3 linked regions of the Macaca fascicularis genome follow. The protein of the gene in region 1 binds, or shares a complex with, the protein of each later gene. Links are inferred from orthologs where the notes say so. Each region holds a gene or a part of one and is shown on either strand. Other genes may lie near its edges. The genes, in order: OBSL1, CCDC8 and MYOM1.

Region 1 (3,745 bases):
AACAAGGGGACGCACATATGTCGAGACAGGAACTCAAGAGAAGATAGACTAGTTTTCCAGAAAAGTTTCCCAACTAATCTTTTGCCTGTATCTCTGATAGCTTCTCAGTCTCAGCTACCTGGGAGTAAAGAAACAGGGTCTGGAGCAGCGAGCAGAGGCAGAGATAGGAGGAAAGGTGGCAGGAAGGGGCCCAAGCCCAGACATCTCCATCTCTAGAGACCCCTGGTCTCCCAGCGCATACCTCCCAAATGCCTCCCACCTGCCATGCACTCTAGGTACAGCCTCTCACTTAATCCTGAGAGGTTGGCGTTATCACGCATTTTACAGATTGGGAGACAAGAGGCATAAGGAGGTTTAATAACTGGCCTATTGTTGCAAAGCCACTGAGTGGTAGGGCTGGGATTCAAACCCAGGTCCACCTGGCCCGCAAACCCATGCTGTGCCTTGCTGCTTCTCAAAGTCACCCTGCCAGTTCCCCCACCTCGTTACCTGTGGCTGGGAAAAGGATGGCCTGGGAGACATCCTCCTCCTCCGTGGGCTCAGAGCCCCTGCGTGTGAAGCCCCCCAGGGCATGTCTTCGGAGCAGCCGCCTGACTCCAGGGTCCCCACCTTCCCTGGTCACCACGGGGGACCCCAAGGCATCCAGGAACAGGGCCCTCACCTTGGCCAGAACAAGCTCCCGGGCCAGCTCCGGCCCTTGGCAGCTGTGACCACCCTGTGGGGCCAGCAGCAAGAAGAGCAGTAGGGGCAGCACCATAGCTCACCTGGCCCTGCTAGCGGGGAACCCACACCCTCCCCCGTGCCCTTTCTGCCAGGGTCTGCCCAGGGCAGCTCCACTCTCCCCATCCCACACCCACCCTCTTCTACCCTTCTCACCCAGTCTTCTCCAGTCCTTTCCACGCCCCACAGTCCGAGTTGCCCCTGCCCGTGGCATTGAAACCTCCTATCTCTGACGCAGATGTCTGTGGCCATGAGCCTTATCTCCCACTCCCGCCAGGGATGTTGGGGAGGGACTGGGGAGGATTTCGCCCCAAGCGACCTGACTCATACAAGCAAACATTACAACCCCTTCTCCTACACACACACACACACACGCACACACGCACTCTCTCACACACACACACACATCCAGAGGTTTACATCAGGTGGGACAGGAGCCTGGGAGCTGCAGCCGGCCAGCCCCGGAAAGTGTCATTTGTCAGGGAGACACAGTGCACCACCCCTCAGACCTTCTGGGGCCCCTTTCAATAAGCAGCTGCTGGGCCGGCCAGCCCTTGGGGGAAGGGCTGGAGCCGGGGCTAGAACCGGGGCTAGGGCCGGGGGCAGGTGGTCCTGCCTGCTCTATACTTAGCCCAGTGGAGCCAGTCTGGGCTCTTGTCCTCCAGCTGTGTCATCAGAGAATATTTTTGGGATTGGCAGCTGCAGGCGCCTCTGCCACTCAGGCCCAAGCCTGGCGGGAGGCTAGGGACCTGGCGGCTGGAGGTGGGAGGGAGGAGGGGGAAGAGGCCCAAGCTGTGGGAGGGGGCTGGGAAGAGAGGCTCCCAAGAGCAGGAAGCCAGGCAGCGGGCAGGAGAGGCTGCGGGGCCCCTCGCTGGAGAGGCAAACAGGAAGGACTGCCCCCTGAGCGCCAGGCTTCGGCCCGGGAATCGCCGCCGCCGCCGCAGAGCTGCAGCTTGGGGCCGAGGGTAAGGAGGCGAGCCGGGAGCAGGAGGCCCGGGAGAGCTTCGCGGGTACCCGCGCCTGGTCCGCAGCCGCGCCCCGGCCCCGCCGCCCCTGGCCTCTGCTCGCCCTCGGCCCACCCTCCCCGTTGGCCGCTGCAGGCGGTCTGAGACAGCTGCGATGAAGGCGAGCTCAGGGGACCAGGGGAGCCCCCCGTGCTTCCTGCGCTTCCCGCGGCCGGTGCGGGTGGTAAGTGGCGCCGAGGCGGAACTCAAGTGCGTGGTCCTGGGGGAGCCGCCACCGGTAGTGGTGTGGGAGAAGGGCGGGCAGCAGCTGGCGGCCTCGGAACGCCTGAGTTTCCTGGCGGACGGCGCGGAGCACGGCCTGCTGCTGAGCACCGCACTGCCTACCGACGCCGGGGTCTACGTGTGCCGCGCCCGCAACGCGGCGGGCGAGGCCTACGCGGCGGCCGCTGTCACCGTGCTGGAGCCACCGGCCTCCGAGCCCGAGCCGCAGCCCGCCGAGCGCCCGCTGCCACCGCCGGGGTCCGGGGAGGGCGCCCCGGTCTTCCTCACGGGGCCCCGATCCCAGTGGGTGCTAAGGGGGGTGGAGGTGGTGCTGACGTGCCGGGCGGGGGGCCTCCCTGAGCCCACGCTGTACTGGGAGAAGGACGGGATGGCCCTGGACGAAGTGTGGGACAGCAGCCACTTCGCGCTCGAGCCCGGCCGCGCCGAGGAGGGCCCCGGCGCGAGCCTGGCGCTGCGCATCCTGGCAGCTCGGCTGCCGGACTCCGGCGTCTACGTGTGCCACGCCCGCAACGCGCACGGCCACGCGCAGGCGGGGGCGCTGCTCCAGGTGCACCAGCCCCCTGAGAGCCCGCCCTCGGACCCCGACGAGGCCCCCGCGCCCGTGGTGGAGCCGCTCAAGTGCGCTCCTAAGACTTTCTGGGTAAATGAGGGCAAGCACGCCAAGTTCCGCTGCTACGTGATGGGCAAGCCCGAGCCCGAGATCGAATGGCACTGGGAGGGCCGCCCGCTGCTCCCGGACCGCCGCCGCCTCATGTACCGCGACCGCGACGGCGGCTTCGTGCTCAAGGTGCTCTACTGCCAGGCCAAGGACCGTGGGCTCTACGTCTGCGCCGCGCGCAACTCGGCAGGCCAGACGCTCAGCGCGGTGCAGCTGCACGTGAAAGGTACGGCGGCGCCCGGGGCCTGGGGAGGGGCCTCTCGTGTCCTCCGAGGCCCTCCGAACACCAGCCCTCCTCGGTGCGCAGCACTGCCCCGAAGACTGGAAGAGAGGAGGTCCGCGGCAATATTAAAATATCAAACCCGCCCGCCTCCCGCTCTCCAGGGATTCGGATTTACTAGGTCTCCCGGGTACTCAGGAACTTCTTAGCAAACTCCCCAAAAGATTCCGAGGCAGATGGTGGAACACCACTAAGGAGTGATTGATGTACAAACCTGGAGGGCGGTAGAACTCTTCTCCCCTAGTGGTTTTCAACGTCTTTGTTATTTTACTTCTCCTTCCCCAACTGAATTCACAACCAGAGTCCCAATATATGAGACAGATAAAGGAGTATTTTGTGGGCCTAAATTGCTAAGTCTGCTTGTATAACAGGTACTTCTAAAGCATCAGTGAGAATAAGGAGGCTATTTTATTGAATACAGGCATTTGAAGTGAAGACTGCATTCATGAGTCCAGGCTCTGAACCCTGTGGGAACAGCCTGGGTGCGTCTGTCACCTTGAGAAACAAGTGATTCAGTAGAAAGCTAGACAAGGGAGGACAAATGTCCTGTGTGTTTTTACTGTTCTTTGATTAAACTACTCCCCACGTTTGCAAGAAGAGGAAGGTGAAGGAGAGAAGGTTTATATTTCAATGTTGAATCACCAACAATATCCAATAAACGCTTACATTCTCATAAACAGAAAATTCAAAGGGAAAAAAAAAAAGCACACCCCAAACTCACCATTAGGTAACGCTCCCCATAATAGGATTTCATCACAATGCAAAGGATTATACCTTCACTAGTTATTGTCCAGATTTTTCTCTTGGAGGAAAAAAAAGTTGGTAAATTCTCCTGAGTCC
Region 2 (3,719 bases), on another chromosome or scaffold:
TGCTACAAGGAATCAGTATATATATGTGTGTGTGTGTGTGTGTGTATATATATATATATATATTTTATCAGGTGGTACGTGTGGTGGCTCACACCTGTCATCCCAGCACTTTGGGAGGCCGAGGCAGGAGGATCAGTTGAGGCCAGAAGTTTGAGGCTGCAGTGATCATGCCACTGCACTCCAGCCTGGGCAACAGAGTGAGACCCTGTCTCTAAAAAATTTTTTAAAAATCAACGCATGAGACAAAACTTTAACAAGAGAATAAAGAGGGTTGTAAGGTGGAGATGTGGGCAGCACTCCAACTCCACTTTCAAGTTCAGAGGCAGAAAGAGCAACTTTCTCTCCCACGCTTGTAGGGAGGGCCCGTGGGCTGTCTCTAGCCCTCACCTCACAGCTGGTCTTCTCGCTCTCCCTGTTCAGCTTCTGCTTTGGCCTCGGCCCTCAGCACCCTGAGGCTCCTGGCCTCGCCTGCCCTGGGGACTCTCTTGGGCAGGGTTGGCAACCGGGGAGTGTGCCAGAAGGCTCTCCGGGGCTTGCGAAACCACGAAAAGCGTCCAGGGGTCTGGAACCTCACTGTCTTGACCTGTTTCCGGGCCCTGGCTCCTGAAGCTGTTCCTGTGGCCCCTTGGGCAGCTGAGGCTTCAGCTTCCTGGATACCTGGGGCCCCTGCCCTCTGATTATGTGCAGCCTCTGCCCTTTGGCCAGCCCGGGCCTGTGCCCTCTGATTACCTGCACGCTGGACAGCTGGGGCCCTTTCCCTCTGGTCATGTATGGCCTCTTCCCTTTGAGGATCTGTAGCCTCTGACCCCTGGTCAGCTAGAGCCTCTTCCCTCAGGTTATCTGCACCCTGTGGCCTATGGTCAGCTGGGGCCTCTGCCCTCTGATTATCTGCAGCCTCTTCCCCATGGTTATCTGCAGCCTCTGCCCCCTGGTCAGCTGGGGCCCCTGCCCTCTGATTACCTGCAGCCTCTTCCCTCTGGTCAGCTATGGCCTCTTCCCTCTGATTATCTGCAGCCTCTTCCCTATGGTTATCTGCATCCTCTGCCCCCTGGTCAGCTGGGGCCCCTGCCCTCTGATTACCTGCAGCCTCTTCCTCCTGGTCAGCTATGGCCTCTTCCCTCTGATTATCTGCAGCCTCTTCCCCCTGATCAGCCTCGATGTCTGCCCCCTGACCTGTGGGCGCTGTCTGCTCCTTCCTGCGGCGCCTAAACGAGGCCCAGTTGATCTTGGGCCTCCATCGCCTAGGGGAGGCCTGCGGGGCACAGACATCTCCCACATTTTCCACAGGATCCCCGGGATCCCCGGGGCTGGTGCCGGAGGATACCCCTGCGCTCTCCACTGGGATGGAGGCCAGCCGGGCCTCGCCCACCCCGGGGCCCGCCCTCGGCGCCCAACCCTTCACCCTCCGCTTCAGCTTCCCCCAGGACACCTGGCTGACATACTCCCGCCACCTGTCCGCCTTGGACAGCTGAGGCCCCAGGTTGTCCTCAAACATGGGCACTGGCAGGTTGACGCGGCGGCGGGCAGGCGGCGCGGGGGGCTGCTTCTCCTGTCGCCGGAGAAATGCCTCCACCAGTTCCTCATCATCCTCGCTCTCCACGTCGCTTCCCAGGAACTTGCTGCCCAGGTAGCTGACGGGCATTTTGCGCACCTTCTTGCCCCGCCGCGGGCCCTGGCGGCTCTTGTCTCTGGAGGTCTCGAAGTCGCTGAACTCGCTGTCGCTGGCGTTGCTGCTGTCATACGTGCCCACGACCAGCCGGGGCGTAGGAGTCACCATCTGCTGCACTCTCCTCCTCACTCGGGGCTCCTTGGGCTTTTTGGGGGGCTGGGGCGGGTGCGGGGTGCTCTTCTCGATGATGCGGGCCACGTCCTCCAGGGTGCGGCCCTGTTCTTCCAGGAACTGGGTCAGCCGCTCCCGAAATTCTGCTTCCTTGGTGGCAGGCTTAGAGATGACTCTCCAGACGCCCCCGGCCAGCCTGACCTCCCGGGGGATGAGCAAATAGTCGACGTCCTCCCCGATCTGCAGCATCCCCACCGTGGAGTCCTCCTCCTTGCGGAACACCTTGCCGATCTTCTTAAATGTTCCCACGGGTTTTAGGGCTTCCACGAGGACGTCCAAATCCACATCTTTGCAGACATCGGGGACGCTCCAAAGAATGAGGCAGTCGGGGGACGGGAGGAAGCCCCAGGGGAACCAGCCCCCCACGTGGCTTTTCTCGAGAGTCTTTAAGATCTCCAGGGTGATATCTGGGGTGAGGGAGCAAAGAGCCCCAACAAACTACTGTAGCCCTTAGTCTTGAGGGAGGGACTGGATGGGGGGAGTCCCAGCAACGCTGACCGCAGAGTCTCACCTCCCCAGCCAGGGACGAGTCAACGCCTCCAATCTCTTCTCCTGCAACAAGTCCAGTCTTGACCAAGTCCGGCTCCTCCACCAAGGACTTGGGAGAATCAATTTCCAGGATGCCTACGTGAGCCGGGGGCGAGGTCAGTCCCAAGGTTCAAGGCCCACTCCAAGCTGGAAACGTGGTGTCCCGGCTCCAAGTTGGGGCGCGCGGGCTGCCAGCGATTCTTCCTGCCCCAGGCCCCTGGGACGCGGTTGGAACTTGGGAGAGGACTTCGCAGACAAAGACGGTCCAGTCGAGGCTATTCAATATGGCGGAGGCGCTGAGAGGCCTCAGCCCGGCCCCCCAGTAGGGTCCCCCGCCCCCAGGCAGGCCACCACCCAGCTCCAGGCTGACCTTGACGCGCCGCAGCCTGCCAGCCCGCGCGCTTAGGGCTCTGCACGGTGGAGCGCACCAGCAGGAAGTTCCTCCTTGCCCTCCGCCAGAATGAGGCCCACCTTCCCCCGTCTCATCTTACACTCCCAGACTCTGGAAGACTGACAGGGGGGCTGTCCACTCTCTTCGGGGCAGCCTCCTTCCCCTCCCCCACAGGGGTGTGGCCGCGCCTGGGGCCTAGCTGGGCCCATTGCTTCCCAGCGAAGCGGCGGTGGCCCACGTCAGCACCTTTGCTGAAAGGCAGCGGTTCCCAAACCTGCCATCCGAAATGTACAAGTTTCCAGCCAAGTCCTGGAGGTGGGTGTGCCAGTGGATTCTACCTTTTGAGAGCCACTGGCACCATAGATTAGCATTTTAAATTCACGCGACTATCCGTACCCGTACACCCAGACGCGTGGGTAGAGAAATGGGTACCGGGATCTTATTGCAACAGTCCCCCTGTGACGCTTGGCAGGAGGTCAGGGCTCTACATATTTTTGAGTGGATGAATAAACCTGAATGTTCATAGCCAGGCGCGGTGGCTCATGCCTGTAATCCCAGCACTTTGGGAGGCCTAGGCGGGTGGAACACTTGGAGGCCAGGAGTTCGAGACCAGCCTGGCCAACATGGTGAAACCCTCGTCTCTACAAAAAATACAAAAATTAGCCGGGTGTGGTGGTGTGCGTGTGTAGTCCCAGCTACACGGGAGGCTGAGGCAGGAGAATGGCATGAACCCGGGAGGTGGAGGTTGCAGAGATGGCGCCACTGCACTCCAGCCTGGGCAACAGAGGGAGACTCTGTCTCAAAAAAACAAAAACAAAAAAAAAAAAAAAAAAAAAAAAAAAACAAAAAACAAAACCAAAAAAACCCCACAAATAAACAACAACAAAAAAGCCTAAAAGTTCATGAGTAGATACTGCCTCTATTTTATGGTAGTATCTTACAGTGAAATATTTTGCAACT
Region 3 (3,645 bases), on another chromosome or scaffold:
TTGATGTTATAGCGCCTGGCAGAGTGAGACATTAGCATGTTTCTGGTCCACCCTCAGAAGGCTTTGGAGAGCTCAAGGCGACTTTGGGGAAGATGGGTTTGAACCTCCGTGCAGTTATACAGGGACTCTATTCAAGTTAGCTTCCGGGATTCCAAGAGCTGAAATCAGTTTCCAAATCAAACCAGGCCTCCCGTTTACACTCTTGACAGTGTCCTTAACCTCCGTGCTTCCTTGAAATATCCTGAGCTGAAAGAGAACCGAGGCCTGGCATAGATAATCTGATGGAGTGTAGCCACCTTCAGTCCAACCTCAGGATGCAAATGTTCCAAAGTGCAAATGTTCCTAGGAGCCCCACTGAGAAGAAGGTCCCGTGGCATCCCCAGGAGGGTACAGATAGTAAGTTTCCCCACCCTGTACCCTCAGTGGCATTGACAGTATGGGGGTCGCTGCTGAAAGCCCTTTACGTATGTGAATTCATTTCACATTCACCACTCTGCGTGGGAGGTGCTCCTCCCTTGAGGGATGAGGAAGCTAGGGCTCGGGGAGGTGACCTGCCTAAGGTCACACAGCTAAGAGGTGGGTCAAGGCTGAGCCTAGGCAGCCTGGCTCCAGAGCCCGGTTCATCATGGCACTACCTACCACTGGATTCCAGCTGCGTGAAGTCTAGACTAGAGGTCCCCAAACCCCAGGCCATAGACAGGTACCAGTCCGTGGCCTACTAGGAACTGGGCCATGTAACAGGCGGTGAGTGGTGAGCGAGGGAGCGAGCATGACCACCTGAGCTCCGCCTCCTGTCAGATCAGCTGCGGCATTAGATCCTCACAGGAGCGCGAACCCTATTGTGGACCGCGCATGTGAGGGATCTAGGTTGTACGCTCCGTGTGAGAATCTGATGATCAATGTTATGTGCTTGAGTCATCCCGAAACCCTCCCCCTACCTGGTCTGTGGAAAAATTGTCTTCCACGAAACCGGTCCCTAGTGACAAAAAGGTTGGGGCCCACTGGGCTAGATTGAACAGTTAGCCAGAGCCAGGTGCCGCAAAGCAGCCATTTGTGTTTTCTTTAAGATGACTTTACTGTTATGTAAAACAGTGTTTTCGCTAGTATTATGATTTATTATTAACTGAGTCATAAAAATGAGAATTGGTGAAATTCCAGTGTCGAATGTTGGGGCTTATTCCTTTGTTCTGTTTCTTTCAGAATACATTTTAGGAAAGTAATTATAAGCTAAAATAGATCAAATTCCAGGAAATTCCTCTGTGACATCTAGGACATTCTAATATACCAGTCTGAAGTGTCAGAGAAGTAAAATTCATTGAATCATCAATCAAAAAGCTTTATATCTTCTCTAAAAGAATTACTTGTTCAAAAATGAGAACACTGAAAGGATGTTTTGAGGAAATTGCTATTAGACCAGCAAAGCATAAGCATCTTAATTATTTGGTCTAGTCAACCACTTGAGCCTCCATAAGTGTTGTTTTTGGACTAGCTTGTGAAATCTGATTTACAGCCATAGATTATCTAGATGAAATATACAGTAAAATAATATGTAGTTTGGCCTTTTAGCTTTATAGATTACCCTAGTCCTACAAATAAATCCAAACTAAAACAAAGATAATAATACCACTGAGAAGTATTAGTATTGTGATTTGCCCTGGGCCTCAGACTGCTATGAGGAGTTATTAATAAATAAATATTCCGACCGTCAGAACTTGGGCCTTGGAATCCCAGTTCTGTGTGTCATGGCCCATAATTTTTCTGAAGCAGAAGAATAACATATGCAGATCCCTCGCTTTTTGCAAGCCTATAAAACTTTACGGCAAGAGCTTCAATAAGAGACAAAGTCAAGATCAGCCCTGGATGGAAGCAAACGCTAAGGAAGTTTTCTTCGGTTTTCACAGTGGGGCCGCCATTAGGTACTCAGACAGAGTTAAGACCGGGGTCACTGGAGAGCAGATCTGGCTACAAATCAATGAGCCCACCCCGAATGACAAAGGGAAGTACGTCATGGAGCTCTTTGATGGCAAAACTGGACATCAGAAGACAGTGGATCTTTCTGGACAAGGTAAACAGATATTTTGCAGATTCAAATTTACTCTGGATGAATGAGCCTTTTAAAAGAAATGAAGGGAGCTGGGCATGGTGGCTCATGCCTGTAATCCCAACACCTTGAGAGGCCAAGGCAGGAGGATGGCTTGAAGTCAGGAGTTCAAGACAAACCTGGGCAGCATAGTGAAACCTCATCTCTAAAAAAAAAAGTAGCTGGGCAAAGTGGCACACACCTGTAGTCCCAGCTACTTTGGGAGGCAGGCGAATCAGTTGAGCCCAGGAGTTCAAGACCAGCCAGCCTGGAGCAATATAGCGAAACCCCGTTTCTATAAAATATATAAATAAATAAATAATAAAAAATACTCAGTTATAAGTAAAAAGTTAAAAAATACTGGGCCATTTCTCCCTTTCCCAGAACTATACTCTTCATCCTATTCTTTCTTACAAAAGTAAAATAGTCTGCTGGTATGGTGGCCTTTAATCCTAGCACTCTGGGAGGCCAATGTGGGAGGATCACTTGAGGCCAGGAATTTAAGACCAGTCTGGGCAATATAGTGAGACCCCAGCTCTTCAAAAATAAAATTTTAAGAAATTAGCCAGGTGTGGTGGCGTGGTGGCTTATACCTATAATCCCTACTGCTCAGGAGGCTGAGCTAGGATGATCACTTGGGTCCAGGAGGTTGAGGCTGCTGTGAGCCAAGATCACACTGCTATACTCCAGCCTGGGCAACAGAGCAAGATTCTGTCTCTAAAAAAATTAAAAATAAATAAAATAAAATAGTCTATACTGTGTTAAAGTTAATAAAGACAGCTGTGGACTGACTTTTCCTCTACTCCTTCATTTTAAAATACAACCTCAGGTGGGCATGGTAGCTCACACCTGTAATCCTAGCACTTTGGGAGGCTGAGGCAGGTGGATCACCTGAGGTCAGGAGTTCGAGACTAGCCTGACCAACATGGTGAAACCCGTCTCTACTAAAAATATAAAAATTAGCTGGCTGTGGTGGCACATGCCTGTTACAGCTACTCGGGAGGCTGAGGTAGGAGAATCATTTGAGCCCAAGTGGCAGAGGTTGCCATGATTCGAGATTGCGCCACTGTACTCCAGCCTGGGCTACAGAGCGAGACTCTGTCAAAAAATAAAAAATAAAAATAAATAAATAAATAAATACAACCTCAATATTCAGTAACTCAGGTTCTTTCAACCTCAGAGAGCAGATTCGTCATTTAGAGCGTAGCCCTTCAGCCCTGCTTTGAGTGTTTTTGGGGCTGAATCCCCTTGTCTTCACCGCACCCACTCACGGTGACTAGAAGGACTCTCCGCAGGACCCACAGTAACGGGAGCAGCCGGCCCAGAGGGACGCAGGCTTTCTAGGACACACTTGGCCTGCGTCACCAGCGCACGGCGACCGGGGATTTCTTCCACTCTCCGTCTGACAGTGTGAAACACAACCGAAAAAGGGAGGCAGTAAGGGGGTGGAAAAAGTTAAAATTTTTAAAATGTTATTTTTACTCTCTGGTCCACCAAAGCTTATTTAACTACCCCACTCTGAAATCCTTTTTAAGGAAAAGCCTGTAGATTGTCCTACCAGCATT

The links.
Region 2: OBSL1 (region 1) and CCDC8 share a complex: the UniProt entries of both Homo sapiens proteins name them as parts of the 3M complex. The link is inferred for Macaca fascicularis from reciprocal best matches to the Homo sapiens genes OBSL1 and CCDC8.
Region 3: the proteins of OBSL1 (region 1) and MYOM1 are in contact, whole or in part, in a crystal structure (PDB 5FM5), measured with the Homo sapiens proteins. The link is inferred for Macaca fascicularis from reciprocal best matches to the Homo sapiens genes OBSL1 and MYOM1. Residues at the interface, in NP_056126.1 of Homo sapiens: Pro243, Lys253, Phe255, Val257, Asn258, Gly260, Lys261, His262, Ala263, Lys264, Phe265, Arg266, Cys267, Tyr268, Val269, Met270, Gly271, Lys272, Pro273, Pro275, Trp279, Lys305, Tyr308, Tyr317, Cys319, Ala321, Arg322, Asn323, Ser324, Ala325; in NP_003794.3 of Homo sapiens: Arg616, Pro617, Ser618, Ala619, Pro620, Trp621, Thr622, Gly623, Gln624, Ile625, Ile626, Val627, Thr628, Glu629, Glu630, Glu631, Pro632.

The regions. Positions count from the first base shown.
Region 1 is NC_088386.1:115,501,882-115,505,626, reverse strand, and holds the start of OBSL1 (obscurin-like protein 1), read left to right. Parts: upstream 1-1,534; 5' UTR 1,535-1,839; coding exon 1,840-2,851; intron 2,852-3,745. Other genes in the region: INHA (inhibin alpha chain), read right to left, coding at 490-715, 877-972. UniProt on the Homo sapiens protein: Core component of the 3M complex, a complex required to regulate microtubule dynamics and genome integrity. It is unclear how the 3M complex regulates microtubules, it could act by controlling the level of a microtubule stabilizer.
Region 2 is NC_088393.1:54,435,063-54,438,781, forward strand, and holds the start of CCDC8 (coiled-coil domain-containing protein 8), read right to left. Parts: upstream 2,831-3,719; 5' UTR 2,030-2,830; coding exon 389-2,029; 3' UTR 1-388. UniProt on the Homo sapiens protein: Core component of the 3M complex, a complex required to regulate microtubule dynamics and genome integrity. It is unclear how the 3M complex regulates microtubules, it could act by controlling the level of a microtubule stabilizer.
Region 3 is NC_088392.1:71,676,593-71,680,237, reverse strand, and holds part of MYOM1 (myomesin-1), read left to right. Parts: intron 1-1,901; coding exon 1,902-2,065; intron 2,066-3,645. UniProt on the Homo sapiens protein: Major component of the vertebrate myofibrillar M band. Binds myosin, titin, and light meromyosin. This binding is dose dependent.